4 linked regions of the Saccharomyces cerevisiae S288C genome follow. Changing the gene in region 1 together with any one later gene gives a genetic interaction. Each region holds a gene or a part of one and is shown in the gene's direction. Other genes may lie near its edges. The genes, in order: YER137C, STL1, PUT1 and GFA1.

What was found.
Region 2: mutations in YER137C (region 1) and STL1 together harm fitness more than expected from each alone (negative genetic interaction), as found in Saccharomyces cerevisiae (one large-scale study listed by BioGRID).
Region 3: mutations in YER137C (region 1) and PUT1 together harm fitness less than expected from each alone (positive genetic interaction), as found in Saccharomyces cerevisiae (one large-scale study listed by BioGRID).
Region 4: mutations in YER137C (region 1) and GFA1 together harm fitness more than expected from each alone (negative genetic interaction), as found in Saccharomyces cerevisiae (one large-scale study listed by BioGRID).

The regions. Positions count from the first base shown.
Region 1 is NC_001137.3:439,318-444,561, reverse strand, and holds YER137C (uncharacterized protein), read left to right. Parts: upstream 1-2,742; coding exon 2,743-3,189; downstream 3,190-5,244. Other genes in the region: GDI1 (Gdi1p), read right to left, coding at 3,591-4,946.
Region 2 is NC_001136.10:1,506,229-1,511,677, forward strand, and holds STL1 (glucose-inactivated glycerol proton symporter STL1), read left to right. Parts: upstream 1-1,776; coding exon 1,777-3,486; downstream 3,487-5,449. Other genes in the region: phenylacrylic acid decarboxylase PAD1, read left to right, coding at 4,674-5,402.
Region 3 is NC_001144.5:422,511-428,737, forward strand, and holds PUT1 (proline dehydrogenase), read left to right. Parts: upstream 1-2,675; coding exon 2,676-4,106; downstream 4,107-6,227. Other genes in the region: SLS1 (Sls1p), read right to left, coding at 1-963; RRN5 (Rrn5p), read left to right, coding at 1,173-2,264; DPH6 (diphthine--ammonia ligase), read left to right, coding at 4,819-6,227.
Region 4 is NC_001143.9:240,079-247,100, reverse strand, and holds GFA1 (glutamine--fructose-6-phosphate transaminase (isomerizing) GFA1), read left to right. Parts: upstream 1-1,727; coding exon 1,728-3,881; downstream 3,882-7,022. Other genes in the region: metalloaminopeptidase APE1, read left to right, coding at 1-963; YKL104W-A (uncharacterized protein), read right to left, coding at 1,815-2,069; SEG2 (Seg2p), read left to right, coding at 4,518-7,022. UniProt on the Saccharomyces cerevisiae protein: Involved in amino sugar synthesis (formation of chitin, supplies the amino sugars of asparagine-linked oligosaccharides of glycoproteins).

The DNA.
Region 1 (5,244 bases):
CATTAACTGAGAAAATACCCAAATTAAACGTACCTTTGAATCCAAAAGGAAGAAAACTTAGCGCTCCAGGTCAACCAGGTCTTTATATAGACCAGGATGAACTAGAAATAGATGAAGATGAATACAAAGAGAAGGTACATGAAATGCAAAAGTTGATTGGTCTAGCTTCATATGTTGGATATAAATTTAGATTTGACTTACTATACTACATCAACACACTTGCTCAACATATACTATTCCCCTCTAGGCAAGTTTTAGACATGACATATGAGTTGATACAATTCATGTGGGACACTAGAGATAAACAACTGATATGGCACAAAAACAAACCTACCGAGCCAGATAATAAACTAGTCGCAATAAGTGATGCTTCGTATGGCAACCAACCGTATTATAAATCACAAATTGGCAACATATATTTACTTAATGGAAAGGTAATTGGAGGAAAGTCCACCAAGGCTTCATTAACATGTACTTCAACTACGGAAGCAGAAATACACGCGATAAGTGAATCTGTCCCATTATTAAATAATCTAAGTTACCTGATACAAGAACTTAACAAGAAACCAATTATTAAAGGCTTACTTACTGATAGTAGATCAACGATCAGTATAATTAAGTCTACAAATGAAGAGAAATTTAGAAACAGATTTTTTGGCACAAAGGCAATGAGACTTAGAGATGAAGTATCAGGTAATAATTTATACGTATACTACATCGAGACCAAGAAGAACATTGCTGATGTGATGACAAAACCTCTTCCGATAAAAACATTTAAACTATTAACTAACAAATGGATTCATTAGATCTATTACATTATGGGTGGTATGTTGGAATAGAAATCAACTATCATCTACTAACTAGTATTTACATTACTAGTATATTATCATATACGGTGTTAGAAGATGACGCAAATGATGAGAAATAGTCATCTAAATTAGTGGAAGCTGAAACGCAAGGATTGATAATGTAATAGGATCAATGAATATAAACATATAAAACGGAATGAGGAATAATCGTAATATTAGTATGTAGAAATATAGATTCCATTTTGAGGATTCCTATATCCTCGAGGAGAACTTCTAGTATATTCTGTATACCTAATATTATAGCCTTTATCAACAATGGAATCCCAACAATTATCTAATTATTCACCCATTTCTCAAGATGATAGTTGATTTTTATTCCAACATCATTAATAAAAATCTCAGACTTTCATGGGTGGTAGAAAAGCATCTTCCATGGTTTGTTACCTTCTTTCCAGTAAAAGTATTTCATTAAAATTTGGTCTCTTGGCCCAGTTGGTTAAGGCACCGTGCTAATAACGCGGGGATCAGCGGTTCGATCCCGCTAGAGACCATATTTTTTTTGAAAATCTTTTTGTCTTTTTGTTCAACTTAAAGAATGAATGAATGCCAACTCAGCTTTGCGGGCCTCCAATATGTACCACATGTTGGTAATTGTTCATACTTTTTTAAAAATATAGACAAATTTTAAGATAATTGTTGGAATTACATTGTTGTTAAAGGCCGCAATATTACGTGGAACGAATATGCTGCAATTCTCCTCGAGAAAAAATAGGAATCTACAAAAAGCGAATTGATAGCTCTACATAATAATGTTACTCTATCTTCTTCCTTTTATACTTTGTCATTCTTTATTTTATTACATTATCAACCCTTGAATTTCAGCTTCCATTAGATTTGATGACTATTTTCAATGTTTATGACATCTTCTTATATTGTATATGATAATATATTAGTAGTATGACAGCACACTAGTAGCAGCAGTACTAGTCGATGGATGATCGTTTATTCTTCTTTCAACACGTTCTAAGTATTCTCATTTTATCCTTCTTATATTCCGCTGCCGCCTGTCGCTACTCACTCTACAACCAAGGTAAGGACTACCTACAACAAGAACATGATGATAAACATTGACATGCACCTTCCAATCGTCATTTATATTCGAAAAGAACAAGAATAGGACATTAAATCAACTTACTCTTCCAACATCCCTCATTGGGACGGTTAATTAGTTCAAAAAAATGTTAAAAAATATGGTTCAGGACACACTCCATCCCCGAGGGAACGGCCACAATGTGCGAGTAAATCCTGATGGCACCGCCAAATTAAACCGCCGAAGCGATCAACTTGCACAATTATCCGACTGATATGTGCTATCCCGGCCGCCTCCATCACGGGTCACCTTTGCTGACGCTGGATAAAACTCCCCTAACAGCGGTGAAGGTGGAGCCCCTAAGGACCCAGAACTACCTTGCCGCACCAGACAGAGAGACGGATTCCTCACGCCTCCTGCCAACGGGCTGCCCGCAAAGATCGATTTATTATAGCCGGGACACTTCAGAACGGACTCTCCCGCCTCCGGGCAGACAGCTCTGCCCAGGACAAATTTACGACGGAGGAAAGACGGTTGCCACAACAGGGCACGGTGCGGAATAGAGAACTATCCCTTGCCCAAAGGGCGTGCAATCCGTGTCTAGCCGCGAGGAAGGATTTGTTCCTCGGCCAGAATTCTCAACGTATCCCATCCCACCAGAAAGCCATTACAGCCTAGCACAATTGGAATAAACTTTCGATTTTATACTCCATTTTCTTTCCTTTACACAGAAAATTTGTCAGAAGATTTTCAATGAAAAGTTCCTGGCGATGAGGTTGACACTAATACAATATAGTCATCGTAAGTTTGTTAAAAGAATACCGAGGGTTGTTATAACAAGGAATGTGTGAATCATCAAATAAGACTGAAAATGATATAGTCAGATTGTCACAAGCTATGGATGTCCTGGCTAAGTTGATCATTTCAAAGCAAAAAGATGGATCACAATTACAAGTTGAGTACGAGCATAAGTTGAAAGAATTAGAGAAATTCATTAACCTACTACTGGGATTGCATGAAAGCACTGTGGGAAGTATGATGAATACTAGTGTTCTTGACATGGTACTGCGGAATGGAATAGAGATCATGGAAAAAGACGATCAAAAATATGCCCTGATACCGATTAAAGCCAAGGAAGAGGCAGATAAAACTACGAGCACTATTCAGGGAGTAACCAGCAAAAAGAGTAGTAAAAAGAAAAAAAATAAGATAAAATGTTCATTTTGTCACGAGGCTGGCCACACAAGGGCACACTGCGGTGCGAGACTGACAGTTATACCCAAGAAATAATGAAGGGATCATCGAAGCATTAGACCTACATCTACCTTACTAAGATTGTAAGTACATAGCATGTGTACTGATGTGTTCAGTAGCATTCTTCCATATATTATACTACATAAGGTATGTAAATTTATGTATTTATATATGGAAAAAAGAAATTGAAAGAAAAGAAAAGGAAAGATACTTAGTTATGAATCAATCAGAATACGCATATAACAAAAAAAAAAAGTGGAATGAGAAAGGAATAAAGGATAATCTTTTCCCCTATATTTTTGTATTGGTTTTTTTTTGGCAAATATTTTCTTGTTTTCTGTAATTCATGTCATTTATTGGTAACTCATTTGCCAAGAACATTATCGGAAAAAATAAGTTTACCCTCCAATTGCTGCTTTAGTCGTAAAGGTATGAATTTACTGCTTTTCTTGTTCTTGTCTTTGTTTTAGAACTAATGGGTGGCCTGTTACTCTGAAGTAAATATCTTTAACATCGTCAGTCATGGATTCGAAATGAGAGGATGCGTCGTATGATCTGGATAAGTAAATGTTATCCTTAGAGCCGTCTTCTCTTGGTTCAAATAATTCGGCAATTCCCATGAATTTTTCTTCGATTGGTCCCAGAAGTTTGAAAGCAGGCTCTAATTCTATATGTGGTTTATCAGTTTCAATGATTGTAGAAATAATTGCTAAATAGTGACCCTTGGAGCAAACGTTATGCGCATCTGAAACAATCGCAACGTATATATCGCTTTTCCTTCCCAGTTGGCTTTGTGGGATAATAATTTGTAAAGAATCCGCGTTACTGGTGTTCGGAACTGGATGGTTAAGAATACAGATGGCTCTAATAACTCTTTGACCAGTAGATTTACATTTTTCGGGAAAATAAGTTGGATCAGCAATAACCAATGGGGCCTTGAAAGTTCCCAGCTTAGTCTTGACCCCTTCAAATTTTCCTGTGTCTTTTTTATACAATACTTCATCAATTGGAGTGTCTAGCATGTAAGTACCACCGTAAATAGCCGACAAACGAGCAAATCCTTGTGGAAGTTCGCCTAACCCATACATAGGATACAAATAAGGTGATTTACCGTAACGGGCAACACTTTGGCAATATAACAAAATCCTCTCAAACGATGGCCTAGCAGGTTGTTGTAAGTAGTCATCATTGGTCCATAAAGCCATTGCATGACCGATGAATTCTTTGGTAGAATTGCCTAACCCAAATTTATAATACACTTCATCCATGGTATTCTTGTCTAAGTCTAATCCTTGATGAGTGGACAAGTCATCTTCTTTGTAAGAGCTAATCCATTCTAAAAATTTCTTCATTCTACGTTTTTCAAAAATACCCATCAATGGCGATGAAATGGCTTCTATTTCATTAGCTGGCACTTTGTAAATTTTGCCTTGCTTAAAAACGTAGGAGCCAGAAACTTGCTTGAAATCGACATATCTGGTCACATCGGTATGTATTAAAATATTTGTCAGCTCACCATTGGCCATCAGGAATTTAGGAATTAAGTCGACATTCCAATCTCTATCTTTACCAAACTTGGACTCCCGTTCCTCTTTACTGATCGGATTTTGTTTAAATTTTTCATACAATTGAGATAAGGTCACAGAAGCAGCTTCGCCACCATAATGGTCTTGCTTGTCAATATGTAATACCTTTTTTCCATCTACAGAGAGTAAACCAGATAAGATACATTCGGTAATACCGGTACCTAAGACAATCACGTCGTAGTCAGTGTCTATTGTTTCTTGATCCATTGTGTTATGCTATATAAGTGGTTATTCACTAACAGTTATGATGGAAGGGGAGTAAAGAAAAGGAAAAGACTAATTGCAGTCCTGCTTTGAAAAATATCCTTCCTTGAAAAAAGACTATGTTAGAAATTTGATGGGACGACGTCTCAAGCAAGAATGAAGTAGAACCTTTTCTACTAACAAAATCGGGATAAATCAGCCGACGTGTTGAAACTACATCTACAATCCCTCGCTGAAGCTTCCCACGGCCAAGATTTTGGAGCCCACAGGAGAGGGGAAAACACCGCCAATGTGAGATAAA
Region 2 (5,449 bases), on another chromosome or scaffold:
ATTCATCGGTGAGTGAGGATAATAGTGGCTTTTGTAAAAATTTTTATTATGGTGCTAATACACCATACTATTTCTGAGGCAACACCAAAGAAGGGTCCGAGAGTTCTTAGGCAGTAAAAAAGTTACACAGCCTCAGAAGACAGGGATCATGCAGTAAAAAAAAAAGCTCGATAATTTCATCGATCAATTGACCAGCCAATTTATTCTTATACCCTTATTTCTACCGATATAAACAGTTGGATAAACGGACAGGTTGAAGTGCAACGTTATTCAATGGTGACAGTTGCTTCTGGACTAAGAAAGGCTAGACCATGTGCCAGAAGTGCAGAAAAATGAAAGCAGAGAGCAAATAAAAAAACTCGACAAACATCGGAATATCAACCAGACAATAGCAAGTGGACACAATGAAATAAAAATCTCACAGGCAAAAACGCACTTAAGGTGACGTAGATGCGTCCATCATTTAAACACGATACCAACATTATCTGATGTTTCAATGTTGAAAACTGACATTCAAATATTCCGCAACCAGCGGACGAACTGAAGGAGCAGGCGACTACAATGCGCAGGGCGATTGGCGCGGTAACTTTGCCATGATCAAATATTTGTGTAGCGCTTTGTTCACTATCGAACTTTCTAAATGAGTTAAGGAAGAGAAGAAAAACAATATGATACCGCAAATACGTATTCTCACCTAAAATGGCAAGGCAAAGCTTCGCCGAGGAATTCAGCCCGAGAGTAGAAAATTTACTAATGTGGTCTCGCGTGTGAATCAGCAATGATTCTGAAATACTCCTTTTACAACCTTTGCAAAGATAATGTCTTTCAGTCTGATATTACGAGCGACCTAGAACCACTAATCCATATTCTTCATTCAACTTACTCCATTTTCCTTGGCAAACAATGCCCCACAATCATATACGTCATAACTATAAGGGATATGTCTGGAATGCGGCCAAGATAGAATTAAAGGGCTGCAGAACACCACTACTGATACTCATTGCCAAGGCTAGGAGGCACCATCCGTTTCATTTTCTTTGAGGTAAGCCAATCATGAAATAGTATACACATCCATAACGGACGTACGGACGAAATAAGTGCCGTTGTCCCACTATTCCACCGCATTTGGCCCATTTGGCTCACTTTGACTCAACTTGCGTCATTTTAACTGATATGAAGGGTCCGACTTTGTCCTTTTTCGGCCACCGCATACCCCACGGCGATGCCTCCGCTACCTGCATTTGAGTAGCATCTCCGTTTCGCGGGGTATTCGGCGCTACGTCGCCTGTTCGAGCGGCTCTGTTCGTTGCATGAAACTAAAATAAGCGGAAAGTGTCCAGCCATCCACTACGTCAGAAAGAAATAATGGTTGTACACTGTTTCTCGGCTATATACCGTTTTTGGTTGGTTAATCCTCGCCAGGTGCAGCTATTGCGCTTGGCTGCTTCGCGATAGTAGTAATCTGAGAAAGTGCAGATCCCGGTAAGGGAAACACTTTTGGTTCACCTTTGATAGGGCTTTCATTGGGGCATTCGTAACAAAAAGGAAGTAGATAGAGAAATTGAGAAAGCTTAAGTGAGATGTTTTAGCTTCAATTTTGTCCCCTTCAACGCTGCTTGGCCTTAGAGGGTCAGAATTGCAGTTCAGGAGTAGTCACACTCATAGTATATAAACAAGCCCTTTATTGATTTTGAATAATTATTTTGTATACGTGTTCTAGCATACAAGTTAGAATAAATAAAAAATAGAAAAATAGAACATAGAAAGTTTTAGACCATGAAGGATTTAAAATTATCGAATTTCAAAGGCAAATTTATAAGCAGAACCAGTCACTGGGGACTTACGGGTAAGAAGTTGCGGTATTTCATCACTATCGCATCTATGACGGGCTTCTCCCTGTTTGGATACGACCAAGGGTTGATGGCAAGTCTAATTACTGGTAAACAGTTCAACTATGAATTTCCAGCAACCAAAGAAAATGGCGATCATGACAGACACGCAACTGTAGTGCAGGGCGCTACAACCTCCTGTTATGAATTAGGTTGTTTCGCAGGTTCTCTATTCGTTATGTTCTGCGGTGAAAGAATTGGTAGAAAACCATTAATCCTGATGGGTTCCGTAATAACCATCATTGGTGCCGTTATTTCTACATGCGCATTTCGTGGTTACTGGGCATTAGGCCAGTTTATCATCGGAAGAGTCGTCACCGGTGTTGGAACAGGGTTGAATACATCTACTATTCCCGTTTGGCAATCAGAAATGTCAAAAGCTGAAAATAGAGGGTTGCTGGTCAATTTAGAAGGTTCCACAATTGCTTTTGGTACTATGATTGCTTATTGGATTGATTTTGGGTTGTCTTATACCAACAGTTCTGTTCAGTGGAGATTCCCCGTGTCAATGCAAATCGTTTTTGCTCTCTTCCTGCTTGCTTTCATGATTAAACTACCTGAATCGCCACGTTGGCTGATTTCTCAAAGTCGAACAGAAGAAGCTCGCTACTTGGTAGGAACACTAGACGACGCGGATCCAAATGATGAGGAAGTTATAACAGAAGTTGCTATGCTTCACGATGCTGTTAACAGGACCAAACACGAGAAACATTCACTGTCAAGTTTGTTCTCCAGAGGCAGGTCCCAAAATCTTCAGAGGGCTTTGATTGCAGCTTCAACGCAATTTTTCCAGCAATTTACTGGTTGTAACGCTGCCATATACTACTCTACTGTATTATTCAACAAAACAATTAAATTAGACTATAGATTATCAATGATCATAGGTGGGGTCTTCGCAACAATCTACGCCTTATCTACTATTGGTTCATTTTTTCTAATTGAAAAGCTAGGTAGACGTAAGCTGTTTTTATTAGGTGCCACAGGTCAAGCAGTTTCATTCACAATTACATTTGCATGCTTGGTCAAAGAAAATAAAGAAAACGCAAGAGGTGCTGCCGTCGGCTTATTTTTGTTCATTACATTCTTTGGTTTGTCTTTGCTATCATTACCATGGATATACCCACCAGAAATTGCATCAATGAAAGTTCGTGCATCAACAAACGCTTTCTCCACATGTACTAATTGGTTGTGTAACTTTGCGGTTGTCATGTTCACCCCAATATTTATTGGACAGTCCGGTTGGGGTTGCTACTTATTTTTTGCTGTTATGAATTATTTATACATTCCAGTTATCTTCTTTTTCTACCCTGAAACCGCCGGAAGAAGTTTGGAGGAAATCGACATCATCTTTGCTAAAGCATACGAGGATGGCACTCAACCATGGAGAGTTGCTAACCATTTGCCCAAGTTATCCCTACAAGAAGTCGAAGATCATGCCAATGCATTGGGCTCTTATGACGACGAAATGGAAAAAGAGGACTTTGGTGAAGATAGAGTAGAAGACACCTATAACCAAATTAACGGCGATAATTCGTCTAGTTCTTCAAACATCAAAAATGAAGATACAGTGAACGATAAAGCAAATTTTGAGGGTTGATTCACACACAACTCACAAATCATATTTTGTAATTTACTTAAGAAAGCATTTTGCGGGGTTTATATTTGTTCCTTGCCGCACCAATAATATTCATATATTACTACATAACTTTAGTATTTTAACACCAGACGATCTGTCTTTTGAGGAAATATGTCCACTTTCATTTTCTTCCGCTTGCCGGCAATGCCTATAAAAAGCTTATAAAATAGCCCGACTCCGTAGTCTTAATATTTATTTAAGTACAATAATAGTCCCACAAAAATTTTTAAAACATCTTTATTGATAACGTGGACGTGTTATTACATTGGAGCGAATGATGACGGAAGTAGGAAAATCTGAATACTAAGGTGAAGATATTTTAGCAGGGTGCCGCCATGGATGTTCTATGAATGTCTTCCTTCCTTTTCTCTCATGGGACACCGCAAAAACCTGTTCTACCATCATTTAACTGCAACATACAAAAAGCCACCAACTTTCGAACACTGCAAATGGTGCTATTCTCTTTTTGCGGTCTTGCCATGATATTCTTCTTGCAAAAAGGGTTTTAGAGCAAGATTTCAAATTAGCCATGAATATCATGCATCGCTTAGAGCAGTAAGATTTTACCAGAGCTTTACAGGACCTATTTTTCATACGTTATGCACTTCATTCTTCTTGTCGGTTTGATAACAGCAGAATCTAGTTCCTTTAATTTGAACGTTAGCCCGGCAGAAGCCATACCTCGAAAACGCAGCAGCGCTTCATAGGCATATCAAAAACAGGGCAAGGGACACCATACATCACCTAGTGCTGTTACTTATAACCAACTTGACAACGATTGCACAAGAAAAGAGTATATCTGTGAAGACAGCCAAAACGCTTAACATGTTATGACATAAATTGCAGACAAGAAATTGGATGTATTTTACAGACTTTGCATTCCTGTCTGAAAGCCTTTTTACATAAAAATGGTTTCATTAGTAGCACTTCGTATCGTTTTCAAATAATGATGAGATGCTCCAAAAGGAAAGTTGGCACAGAAAAAATGACGCGCCTTTCCTGTTTACCGTTAAACTTCTCAGAAAAAGTATACTCGACCCATTTTTAAGATTGGTGATGGATAGAATTTCATTTAACATAATGCTGCAAATATAGATTGATTTCAATCTACGGAGTCCAACGCATTGAGCAGCTTCAATTGAGTAGATATGCTCCTATTTCCAAGAAGAACTAATATAGCCTTTTTCAAAACAACAGGCATTTTTGCTAATTTTCCTTTGCTAGGTAGAACCATTACAACTTCACCATCTTTCCTTACACATAAACTGTCAAAGGAAGTAACCAGGGCATCAACTTCGCCTCCAAGACCAAAGAGAATTGTTGTCGCAATTACTGGTGCGACTGGTGTTGCACTGGGAATCAGACTTCTACAAGTGCTAAAAGAGTTGAGCGTAGAAACCCATTTGGTGATTTCAAAATGGGGTGCAGCAACAATGAAATATGAAACAGATTGGGAACCGCATGACGTGGCGGCCTTGGCAACCAAGACATACTCTGTTCGTGATGTTTCTGCATGCATTTCGTCCGGATCTTTCCAGCATGATGGTATGATTGTTGTGCCCTGTTCCATGAAATCACTAGCTGCTATTAGAATCGGTTTTACAGAGGATTTAATTACAAGAGCTGCCGATGTTTCGATTAAAGAGAATCGTAAGTTACTACTGGTTACTCGGGAAACCCCTTTATCTTCCATCCATCTTGAAAACATGTTGTCTTTATGCAGGGCAGGTGTTATAATTTTTCCTCCGGTACCTGCGTTTTATACAAGACCCAAGAGCCTTCATGACCTATTAGAACAAAGTGTTGGCAGGATCCTAGACTGCTTTGGCATCCACGCTGACACTTTTCCTCGTTGGGAAGGAATAAAAAGCAAGTAACACTTTTTCTGAGCATTTTATTACGTTACTCAACTACTAATAGAGTT
Region 3 (6,227 bases), on another chromosome or scaffold:
GAGTTCTGTCTTGAGTGCTGGTGAGGCTATTGTGTGGTGGTGTTGAGTTGTGTTAGGATTAGAAGCGACGGCATTTAATAAAAAGACTTTGGCCATGGATATTTTCTTGGTGCTTAGGGCTGAAATCTTGTACATTTGCAAGTCCGGGAGGTATTCAAAAAAAGTGTGAGTTTCCTTCTGAATAAGGTTGATGACGTCTTTTGATGGCATGAGGGAATACATACGCACATTTTCATGAGTGATGTTTGACCATATTTTGTTTAAGGATATTTCTGCGTATTTGAGCAAGCTAGGCGAACCCTTGACGGTCAATTCGTTATCCTGAATGGAGATGATGAATGTCAGCCCGAGCTTATTGAAGTTGGTGAGTATTTTACCATTTTGAGTGATGAGTAAAAGGAAAATTTCTCTAGGAGAATCGAACTGGAAAGTCAATGATGTGGACTTGATGCCTGTGGGAGTGGTGGGTGTTGAAATTGGTTGGCAATTCCAGATTTTTTCAATTATATATTGGGACAGCTTGCTTTTCTTCCAGTGCGTCAGATGTGAAGAGGAGTCTGGCTGATGTGTGGAGATGAACTCGCGCAGTTGGTAGCGATTGTAGCTTGATGTAAGCGATTGGAGAAGGGCATTGTATTCCAGGGAGGGCAGACTGGCGCTTGTCGGTTTCTTCAATCGGATGGAGTTCAATGCGGAATCTAGTGAATTCTGCTTTTCGAAGACAAGGAGTTTCGAGCCGAAATCGAGGTTGTTATCTCCAGTTTCCTTATGGCTACGTTTCTTAGACGGCCTGTGTCTAGGCTGCTTCTGATCATTTTTCACTAGCCCAGATTGGGTAGGGTTCAAGACGACGAATTTCAGATTTTGCGGCAGTTTCTTCTTCCCATGAAGGGGCGAGCTTGGGCCTGAGCTTGAATAAAGACGGTAAGTAAGACGGGCGAGCTTTTTGTTGAATTTCCACATATGCTTACTCTATATTTTCTCCAGTGCCTTCAAGCTCCGTATATATTATGTACTAGTTTTATTACATTAAAGATACATAACTTTTTTTTTTTTTTTCAGTTCACTGAAATAAGAAAAGGCGGGCGAGGTGAAAAACAAAAAAAAAAGTATAGAGAAACAGAAGTGGAAGAAGAGCTAGGAAAGCACAGCGCATACGACGGTCACCTAGGATGGAGCACCAACAATTGCGGAAGTACGTCGAATTGTACAATAAGGAGGTCGAGGAATTCTACAATGGTGCCGCGTCAGGCCGCCCAGCTGAGTTCCATCCTTCCAAAGTACATGTAAAGAGCATCCATGAAAAGGCGGGTACCGCCAATGCTGGTGTAGAAATCTCTAGCGTTGGTGTAGACTGGGACAGCGAGGAGAAGAATACCTTTTTCTGGTGCCTTTCACGCTATAGTATCCACCGTGTAGACGAGTGGCGCTCATTGTTGCCTCGGAAGAGCGCCATGGAGATTCTAGGTTATTACAGGTTGTTAAGGAGAGCGAGTGCGAGCGCGAGATCGCGTAAGGCGGGTGACGACGGAGCGCCCATTGCGTACGAAATGAGCGCTGAGTGGGTTGCCCTGGAGACAAAACTGAGCGAGACAGTGATGGCCATCACGGAAGGCGCAGCCGAGGTTGCCGATGAGGAAGGACACTGCGAGGGCCTTATCGATTATGAAAGCTGGAAACGCAGGTGGGTGGCCATCTACTCGCACAGCCGTATCGCGGAGATAAGACCCTTGCCCCGCCACGCGCTGCCGCTATCGCGCAGCGCGACGCAGACTTTGGAGCGCTGCGTAAGTCGCTACACACGTACATTGCTGTGGTGCACGGCCCTTGCGGGTATGGCTTCCCGCAGCGTCAGCGCCAGGGCGGCCGAATCTCGAGGACACAAGTCGCTACCGACGGTGGTAACTCGCCGGCAAGTTGAGCGTGCACTATGCACAGAAGCCCGATCACGTGACCTACACGTGCTTCCAAGGCGCATTGTTTTGACACTGCGCAAATGGGAACTAGACTATCCGCGAGAGGGCAAACTGTTCCGCACCAAGGAGATGGCACATCTGTTTCTACAAAGCCAGTTGTCCAGACGGGATGCGCCCCCAGTCCATCAAGACGAAAATCAAGAAAATCAAGAAAATCAAGAAAATCAAGAACAAGATAACACTGCAAGTGAAGGTGAAAGCGAGGCAGAAAGGGATGAAATCGACGAAGCGGACTTGTTCCGATCAGCATTACATGAAAATCAGTTGCTAAAATGGTTATCCAAATGAGACACAATGCGAAAAATCGCGCAGGGACATAATTTTTGTTTTCATTATTCTTTCGCTTATTCCCTCCGTTAGCTCCACCGCTTTTTTGATTGGAATTTCCTTTCGGCAATGGCTTTCCGGTTACCACGCCTCGGGTTTCGCATCCCGAAAAGCATATCTACACAAGAAAAATGAATGATAAACAATTGATGAGTGGCGCTATTTCCCTTATCATCTCATTATTGTACTTAGTATCGTCTATTATCAGGAGAAATCGCATGAACTAAGCCCATTTTCTCACCCTTCTGCCTTCTTATATAAAGCTTGCTGGGAACCGAACACAAACTCCACAAGTCCGTAGCAGCTCTTCTCTTTTGTCTTTTATATATCATAAACATCGCTACATAGTAATAACACTAACGCACGCTAGAAATGATAGCTTCCAAAAGCTCCTTATTAGTTACTAAATCGCGCATACCCTCTCTATGCTTTCCTTTGATAAAGAGGTCCTATGTGTCAAAGACTCCGACACACTCTAACACGGCTGCTAATCTGATGGTTGAAACTCCGGCCGCCAATGCCAACGGCAATAGTGTGATGGCACCTCCTAACTCAATCAATTTTCTACAGACACTTCCCAAGAAGGAACTATTCCAACTGGGATTCATCGGTATTGCGACCTTGAACAGCTTCTTCCTGAACACGATCATTAAGTTGTTCCCTTACATCCCCATCCCAGTAATAAAATTCTTCGTCTCTTCTTTATACTGTGGCGGTGAGAACTTTAAAGAGGTCATCGAATGCGGCAAACGTCTGCAGAAGAGAGGTATATCGAACATGATGCTTTCATTAACTATTGAAAATTCCGAAGGTACAAAGAGTTTGTCCAGTACTCCAGTAGACCAAATTGTCAAGGAAACAATCAGCTCTGTCCACAACATCCTACTGCCCAATATTATTGGCCAGCTGGAATCTAAGCCAATCAATGACATTGCTCCAGGTTATATCGCTCTAAAACCCTCTGCTTTGGTCGATAACCCTCACGAGGTTCTGTACAATTTCAGTAATCCCGCCTACAAGGCTCAAAGGGATCAGCTGATCGAGAACTGCTCTAAGATTACAAAAGAGATTTTTGAACTAAATCAATCTTTGTTAAAGAAGTACCCTGAAAGAAAGGCCCCATTTATGGTTTCCACTATTGACGCTGAGAAGTATGATTTGCAGGAGAATGGTGTTTACGAATTACAGAGAATCTTATTTCAAAAATTCAATCCCACTTCATCTAAACTGATATCATGTGTCGGTACTTGGCAGTTGTACCTAAGGGACTCTGGTGACCATATTTTGCACGAATTGAAGCTGGCCCAAGAAAACGGCTATAAGCTTGGGCTGAAACTGGTTCGTGGTGCTTATATTCATTCTGAAAAAAACCGTAACCAAATTATCTTTGGCGATAAAACGGGCACTGACGAAAATTACGATCGTATCATCACTCAAGTTGTCAATGATTTAATCATCAATGGCGAGGATTCTTATTTTGGTCACTTGGTTGTCGCCTCTCATAATTACCAATCCCAAATGCTCGTTACTAATTTGCTAAAATCTACCCAAGACAACTCTTATGCCAAATCGAACATTGTGTTGGGGCAATTACTAGGTATGGCAGATAATGTTACCTATGACCTAATTACCAACCATGGCGCTAAAAACATAATCAAGTATGTCCCATGGGGCCCACCATTGGAAACTAAAGATTATCTTTTGAGAAGATTGCAAGAAAACGGGGATGCTGTGAGATCTGATAATGGCTGGCCATTAATCAAGGCCATAGCAAAGTCGATTCCAAAAAGAGTAGGCCTATGAGAGGACTATAATATATACTCCAATTTCAAAGACAAACCAAAAAACCAAAAAAAAAAAAAAGTATGCATACATAATTCTGATGTTCTAGTTATACATATTATATATAAGTAATGATAATAACACTAATAGTAAAGTAAACGCACGGATATCAAGAGTTAATATACTTGAACCACTTAAATAACAATCTGTTGGTAAAGCTTTCTTCCTATTGATTATGGGTTCGAATAGTACCAGATGTTTTGCCAATCCTAAATCGGTAGGAAAGTGGCTTGTCGTCGTCAGGCTTATTATCAACTCTTATGCACAAGAAAGGTACTCATCTTCTATAAACTACATAAGACCTGAATCTAATCAAAGGGAGAAAGCGCAGAACATCAGATTTAAAGCGGTTTTGCTTGATACACTCAGCCTTGTCTCTTTGTAAGGATTTTGGGGTACCTATGAATAATACATCTAGTAGTGTTAGTAAACCAACGTATGGGATTTTGGGATACATAGTTTTCCAGTGTTTCTTATCCGTGATAGTTTAATGGTCAGAATGGGCGCTTGTCGCGTGCCAGATCGGGGTTCAATTCCCCGTCGCGGAGAATTTTTTTAAGCTTCTATTAAAGAAGCTTTTTTTCACTTATATCTGATGGATGATGAATAGCTAGTTCAAACGGAAATCTTTGATAAAGCTATATCAAAATTCAAAGCCCAATAAGTCAGTATCATGAAGTTTATAGCATTAATATCAGGTGGGAAGGACTCGTTCTACAATATTTTTCACTGCCTGAAGAACAACCATGAATTGATTGCCCTGGGAAATATATACCCAAAAGAATCAGAAGAGCAAGAATTAGACTCTTTCATGTTCCAAACAGTAGGACATGACTTAATAGACTATTATTCTAAATGTATTGGTGTTCCACTATTTAGACGCTCAATATTACGGAACACTTCTAACAACGTCGAGTTGAATTATACTGCTACTCAGGATGATGAAATTGAAGAACTATTTGAACTTCTAAGAACTGTCAAAGATAAAATTCCAGATTTAGAAGCTGTTAGTGTAGGTGCCATCTTATCGTCTTACCAGAGGACCAGAGTGGAAAATGTTTGTTCCAGATTGGGTCTAGTAGTGCTAAGCTATTTATGGCAAAGGGATCAAGCCGAACTAATGGGTGAAATGTGCCTTATGTCCAAGGATGTTAACAATGTTGAAAACGATACTAATTCAGGAAATAAATTTGACGCCAGGATAATCAAGGTGGCAGCAATTGGATTGAACGAGAAACATTTAGGAATGTCCTTGCCTATGATGCAACCGGTGTTACAGAAACTTAACCAACTTTATCAAGTTCATATCTGTGGAGAGGGTGGGGAGTTTGAGACAATGGTCTTGGATGCCCCTTTTTTCCAACATGGATACTTGGAATTAATTGATATTGTCAAATGTAGCGATGGTGAAGTTCACAATGCAAGGTTAAAGGTAAAATTTCAACCGCGTAATTTGAGCAAAAGTTTTTTACTCAACCAATTAGATCAATTACCTGTACCTTCGATTTTTGGTAATAATTGGCAAGATTTAACCCAAAATTTGCCAAAGCAACAAGCTAAAACAGGAGAACAAAGATTTGAAAATCACATGTCGAATGCTCTACCACAAACGACAATCAATAAAACCAATGATAAGTTGTACATCTCTAACCTACAATCACGTAAAAGTGAGACGGTCGAGAAGCAAAGTGAAGATATTTTTACTGAGCTAGCCGACATTCTGCATTCCAACCAGATTCCACGGAATCATATTTTATCTGCGTCATTATTAATTAGAGATATGTCTAATTTCGGAAAAATCAACAAAATATACAATGAATTTTTAGATTTGTCAAAATACGGACCTTTGCCACCATCAAGAGCATGCGTAGGTTCGAAGTGCTTGCCAGAAGATTGTCACGTACAGTTATCAGTTGTTGTTGATGTAAAAAATACAGGCAAAGAAAAAATCAACAAGAATAAGGGCGGACTACATGTTCAAGGCCGTTCATATTGGGCTCCATGTAATATCGGACCATATTCCCAAAGTACTTGGTTAAACGATGATGCAAACCAAGTCAGTTTTATCAGTGGGCAAATCGG
Region 4 (7,022 bases), on another chromosome or scaffold:
GATTCTACACCCCTACCTGTTTGTCGAATTCCTTCCTTGGCTCCCCATTTCGGTAAACCTGCTGAAGGCCCATTTGATAAAGAGGACCAAACTATCCCGGTCATCGGCTTCCCCACTCCGGATGAGGAAGGTAATGAACCTCCCACGGATGATGAAAAGAAATCGCCCTTATTTGGCAAACACTGCATCCACCTGTTAAGGTACGTTGCCAAATTAGCCGGTGTGGAAGTGTCCGAATTGATTCAAATGGATTTAGACTTATTCGATGTGCAAAAGGGTACCATTGGAGGTATTGGTAAACACTTCCTTTTTGCACCACGTCTAGATGACAGGTTGTGTAGTTTCGCAGCAATGATTGCTTTGATTTGCTACGCTAAGGATGTTAATACCGAGGAATCAGATTTATTCTCTACTGTCACTTTGTATGATAATGAAGAAATCGGATCGTTGACAAGACAAGGCGCAAAAGGTGGCTTGTTGGAGTCAGTGGTGGAACGCAGTTCTTCTGCATTCACTAAGAAACCGGTCGATTTGCATACGGTTTGGGCTAATTCCATCATCTTGTCCGCAGACGTCAACCACCTCTACAACCCAAACTTTCCTGAAGTCTATTTGAAGAATCATTTTCCAGTGCCTAATGTCGGAATCACTTTATCACTGGATCCTAACGGTCATATGGCCACAGATGTCGTAGGAACTGCCCTAGTAGAAGAATTAGCACGCCGCAATGGAGACAAAGTGCAATATTTCCAAATCAAAAACAACTCAAGATCAGGTGGTACTATCGGCCCATCATTGGCTTCTCAAACAGGTGCTCGTACCATAGACCTGGGAATTGCACAGTTGTCCATGCACAGCATCAGAGCTGCTACAGGGTCCAAGGATGTCGGATTAGGTGTTAAGTTCTTCAACGGATTTTTCAAGCACTGGAGATCAGTCTACGATGAATTCGGCGAGTTGTGATTTTGCCACACTCTTTTTATTTCTTTTGATTTCTGTTTCTTTATCCTTTTTCTAAAAATACTTTTATTTCGAATCAGGAAGAAAAGAAAAATGTATAAAAAAAAAAAAATAAAACACCACAATCGTCAAGATATAAATATCTATTTATAAATAAAACATCAAAAATACCTAAACCCCAAACATTCTACTAGGAAAGAATATTAACAGTAACCACGAACTATAAAAAATGCATTTGAACACCAATGTGGGCCTTGACAGCCGTATTAGATGAAACAAACCACATACTTTTCTTGATTAGCCAAGCATTCTTTCTTTTGTGACGCCGTCGATCACTCAAATATCAATCCGGGTAACGCGCGGCTCCCTACATTTTCTTCGATTTTTATCTTTTTTTCACAAATCGAAAACATTAGACTTCCTCTTTGGGAAATCGGATGCATTTTAGCGTTTCTGAGGCGACTTTTCCTCTTCTTAAAATATTTATTTAGTGTCTTACATTCGACCCTTTTCGCCTTTCTGCTTTATTTTTGGAACACGTACTTCTTTTCGCTTACAAGAAAGCATTCTCAGTCATCCATCACACTTATTTTCACTGCAAAGTTACAGAACCGGTGTCCTTTCCAACATCATAGTTATATAGTTGAGAAAAAGTGGACAAAAAGCCAGCATAAACAAGGAATAACTGTATTTCTTTTCTTATATAGTTATCAGGGCCAAATAAGCAATAAGTTCTCGAGCAAATCAACAGCAACTTTTATAAAAAAATGTGTGGTATCTTTGGTTACTGCAATTATCTAGTGGAAAGATCCAGAGGAGAAATTATCGACACCTTAGTGGATGGTTTACAAAGATTAGAATATAGAGGCTATGATTCCACCGGTATTGCTATCGATGGTGACGAAGCTGATTCTACTTTCATCTATAAGCAAATCGGTAAAGTGAGTGCTTTGAAAGAGGAGATTACTAAGCAAAATCCGAACAGAGACGTTACTTTTGTCTCTCATTGTGGTATTGCGCATACTAGATGGGCTACTCACGGTCGACCAGAACAAGTTAACTGTCACCCTCAAAGATCTGACCCAGAAGACCAATTTGTGGTCGTTCATAATGGTATCATCACAAATTTTAGAGAACTGAAGACTCTTTTAATTAACAAAGGTTATAAATTCGAAAGTGATACCGATACCGAGTGTATTGCTAAACTATATTTGCATTTATACAATACAAATTTACAAAATGGGCATGACTTAGATTTCCACGAATTAACCAAGCTAGTTCTTTTAGAACTAGAAGGTTCATACGGGTTATTATGTAAATCTTGTCACTATCCTAATGAGGTTATCGCCACTAGAAAAGGGTCCCCTTTACTGATTGGTGTCAAATCTGAAAAAAAACTAAAAGTCGACTTCGTGGATGTGGAATTTCCCGAAGAAAACGCTGGTCAACCGGAAATTCCATTGAAATCTAACAACAAATCATTTGGCTTGGGCCCAAAGAAAGCTCGTGAATTTGAAGCTGGTTCCCAAAATGCCAATTTACTACCAATTGCCGCCAATGAATTTAACTTGAGACATTCTCAATCCAGGGCTTTCCTATCAGAAGATGGATCTCCAACACCGGTGGAATTTTTTGTTTCTTCGGATGCGGCATCTGTTGTTAAACATACCAAGAAGGTGCTATTTTTAGAAGATGACGATTTGGCTCATATTTACGATGGTGAGTTACATATTCATAGATCTAGAAGAGAAGTAGGCGCATCAATGACAAGGTCCATTCAAACTTTAGAGATGGAGTTAGCTCAGATCATGAAGGGCCCTTACGACCATTTTATGCAAAAGGAAATCTATGAGCAACCAGAATCTACTTTCAATACTATGAGAGGTAGAATCGACTATGAAAATAATAAAGTGATATTGGGTGGTTTAAAGGCATGGTTACCAGTTGTCAGAAGAGCACGGAGACTGATCATGATCGCATGCGGTACTTCTTATCATTCATGTTTGGCTACTCGTGCTATCTTCGAAGAATTATCAGATATCCCAGTTAGTGTGGAATTAGCGTCTGACTTTCTGGACAGAAAATGCCCTGTCTTCAGAGACGATGTATGCGTGTTTGTTTCACAAAGTGGTGAAACTGCGGATACCATGCTGGCTCTAAATTATTGTTTAGAAAGAGGAGCCTTAACTGTCGGAATTGTTAACAGTGTTGGTTCTTCTATCTCTCGTGTCACCCACTGTGGTGTTCATATTAACGCTGGTCCTGAAATTGGTGTTGCCTCTACAAAAGCTTATACTTCCCAGTATATTGCCTTAGTGATGTTTGCTCTATCGCTGTCAGATGACCGTGTATCGAAAATAGACAGAAGAATTGAAATCATTCAAGGCTTGAAGTTAATCCCGGGCCAAATTAAGCAGGTATTAAAGCTGGAACCAAGAATAAAAAAGCTCTGTGCGACTGAATTAAAGGATCAAAAATCTCTATTGTTATTGGGTAGAGGTTACCAATTTGCTGCTGCTCTGGAAGGTGCTTTGAAGATCAAAGAAATTTCTTATATGCATTCTGAAGGTGTTTTGGCAGGTGAGTTGAAGCACGGTGTCTTGGCCTTGGTGGACGAAAACTTGCCAATCATTGCTTTTGGTACCAGAGACTCTCTATTCCCTAAAGTAGTTTCCTCTATTGAGCAAGTTACTGCAAGAAAGGGCCATCCAATTATTATTTGTAACGAAAATGATGAAGTGTGGGCGCAAAAATCTAAATCAATCGACCTGCAAACCTTAGAAGTTCCACAAACTGTTGATTGTTTACAAGGTCTAATTAATATTATTCCATTACAACTAATGTCATATTGGTTGGCTGTTAATAAAGGGATTGATGTTGATTTTCCAAGAAACTTGGCTAAATCTGTTACCGTCGAATAAATTAACCCTTTTACTTTCTCTTCGTCCCCCAGCCTCCCATCCGTCTTTCTACTATCACTTCTCCTTCGCTTTTAATTTTTGAACTTCCATTATTCTGCAATGCGCACTACAAGCTGGCGTTAAAGATGATTCCACTTGTATTCTCTATATAAATAAAAAATTATATTTTATATGAATAACCAAAAAGATAGTTGCAGCCCTAAATTAGACCTGCTAAATAAATGTGTTCTAACTTTGTTACAATTTTTAAACCATATAACTTCCTTCTTGTAAGTCCTCTAAAATAATATTAAACCCTATCCTGAGTTGGGCCCTGCGTTTTACCCGCAGGAATAGGCCCGATGATTGATTATCCACATCAACTTTTGGTGAAATTCGAGAGAAAATAAATGGGAAGTGAACGAGCAATAGGCAATCAACAAAAAAAAAAAAGGGTTAGGAAATTCGCTATTGTAAAGAGGCAATTTTTAAAATTTAGAGTGAAAATCGCCATTCCATCTTCTTCATATTCTTCGTTCAAATTACACAATTATTGCGGGAGGAAATAGCATTTATTAACCCTAATAATCAACATAAGGCAGATAGCTCTGAAAGAGGCAAGTATCAACAAATAGTGGGAGCATTGGAAATAGCGGGATGATCCAAGAAAGTAGTCCAGATGCCTTAGCAGCAGCAGCAGCAATTGGAAATGCGCTCAGTTATAATGGGAGGACCGTTGACAAGAGTAAAATACCGCAATACAATCAGAGTTTTACCTCTCGAACTACGTCAATCGCAGGGATTAATAGGTATACAATGCTCTCGAATTCTAGGACTAACTCAAGGATGCTCTTAATGAATGGTAACGTTCGCCAATACTCTAAGCGCACGTCGAGTTTGCCAAACCAAGGACATAAGAATACCTCTAATAATTCGGCGGGGAGAAGGCAACACAGGGCTCACGAGGATGCAGAAACCACGTTTCGAGAATTTGGAGGCAAGCAGTCATCGAAGGTTTTAAACATTTCAAGTTCGACTGGTCAGAATAGTAAATCAAGGACCACATCACTTGGGAACTCAGGCAGCACAATAAGGACGATAAAAAAATACATACCAGGCCCTAGGGGGTTAATGGCTGTGGAAGTACCCGTGGAAGTAGAGCCTCCTAGATACAGTCTGAGCAACCGCTCAAACCAACGAGGTGGTAGAGCATATTCTTTGCCTACTCGAAACAACAAAACTAGTCTAATGCATAGGAATAAAACTACTAAGAAAGCAGGATCACAAGAGAAAAAAAGTGAAAGCGGCGGTAAATCAAAAAACGATTATCATGGCAAAGTATTATCTAAAATGCATACTACATCATTAAAGCAACGGCATAACAATGTTCCATTAATACCAACAACTATGAACGAGGAAACGGAACAAGAACTGCAAGAGGATCTTCATGATCCTTTAGAATTTAAACCCATGATTATATCCGATGACGAAAACTCTTTTATTGAACCCAGCGTTCTCGATCGTAGCATACCCAAAAAAGATAAAAGTGGTCTCAGTGGACGTGAGAAAAAGGAAGAAATTGAAACATTGCTTAAAGAGGTTCATAGCTTGGAGGAAAAAATATCAAATATCGAAATAGCAAAATTGAACGAAGAAGAAAGGGAACAAAGCTTAATTTTGGAATTGCGAAAAGTTAAGCTAGATGAAGAACGGAGAATGGAGTTATTGAAAAGAGAGCTAAATATAGTTAAGGAGAATGCCGACCTTGAAGCCCAAGAATTAAAACTAATTGAAAGCAAAAGAAAACAACACTTTCACAAAGGACAGGAAGTAGCATCCGAGGTCAAATCGATCACGATTCGTCAACCTACTTTATCAGAACCTAAGCCTGCCTATGTACCTCCGGAAGACGTGGAGAAAGAGCCATCAACTCTCTCCAATCAAACTCAGAATATTGAAAATGCAGAGAATATCGATTCTGTTGATGCCGAAGGAAATTTAGTAGATCCTATTCTTCTCGGCTCTTTAAACAATTCTAACTTCCACATGAATTCAGATAACGAAGTGAGGTGCATTGCAGATTCAAACAGTCTCACTGGCAGCGAATTATCCGATTATAATTATATAGAAGGCTCGGCAACTGATCTTCGCGCTACTGCAAAGACAAGTGTGGAGTCTGAAATAGGCGGAAATCAGGTTGGACTAAAAATTCCGCAAGATGATGATAGTGAAAAACAGGAAGAACGTACAAAGGGAAAAAAGTCAGGCCTCGTCGATACAAATTGCTTTTTAGTCCAAAAAGAAGATCAAGAAGAGGCGCTTTCCGATAATGAACCGGAAAGTTCTGAAAAATTCCCTAGCACTTCTGGGATCGAGAACGTTAAACTGGAGGATGAGACTGGTAGTGTTATGGACAAAAATAATGGACCCAACAATGACAAGGACGATGATGATGACAAAGACAATGATAATGACGATGATGATGACAAGGACGATGATGTTAACGATGATGACAAGGATGAAAATGTTGACGATGATGAAAATGTTGACGATGATGATGACGATGATGATGACGATGATGATGAATATCATGATTCTTATGACGTGATAATGAGAGATCCGGTTCAAATAGAACAAGATATATCTGACGTGCCTTCATTAAAACACCCTTCAGAATATTCTACCGAGACAGAAGATAATAAAAAGAAGGAACAAAATTCTGAAAATGCAGAAGTTAGTCAGTCCGGAACAAACATGGCCAAGTATTTACGTGGTGCTAATCCTTACCTCACTAACACAAGTTCAGACACTTTCAGCCTAGATTCCGAAAACGTGAACTCCAAGTCCTCCACGGATACCACAAGAGTTGCACCTGACCTTTTGAAAAGCTCACTACAACCACAACTTAGATCTGATTTGAAACAATCAGCCGTTCCATCAAGTACTTCCTCGTCCATTTATTCGATAGAAACGTCTCCAAATATTGATTCCTCTACAGGGAAAACTGCTTCCAATACGAAAACGAACAGCCATGGCCCTCCGACGAGTATTTCAAAACAGAAATACGATCAATCTAGTTCTCATCAAATACCCGTGATGTCTCCCAAGCGTCTCGACGATAAAAGAAAAATCACCAATCGTTCGTGCCTAAGAACTCTACGT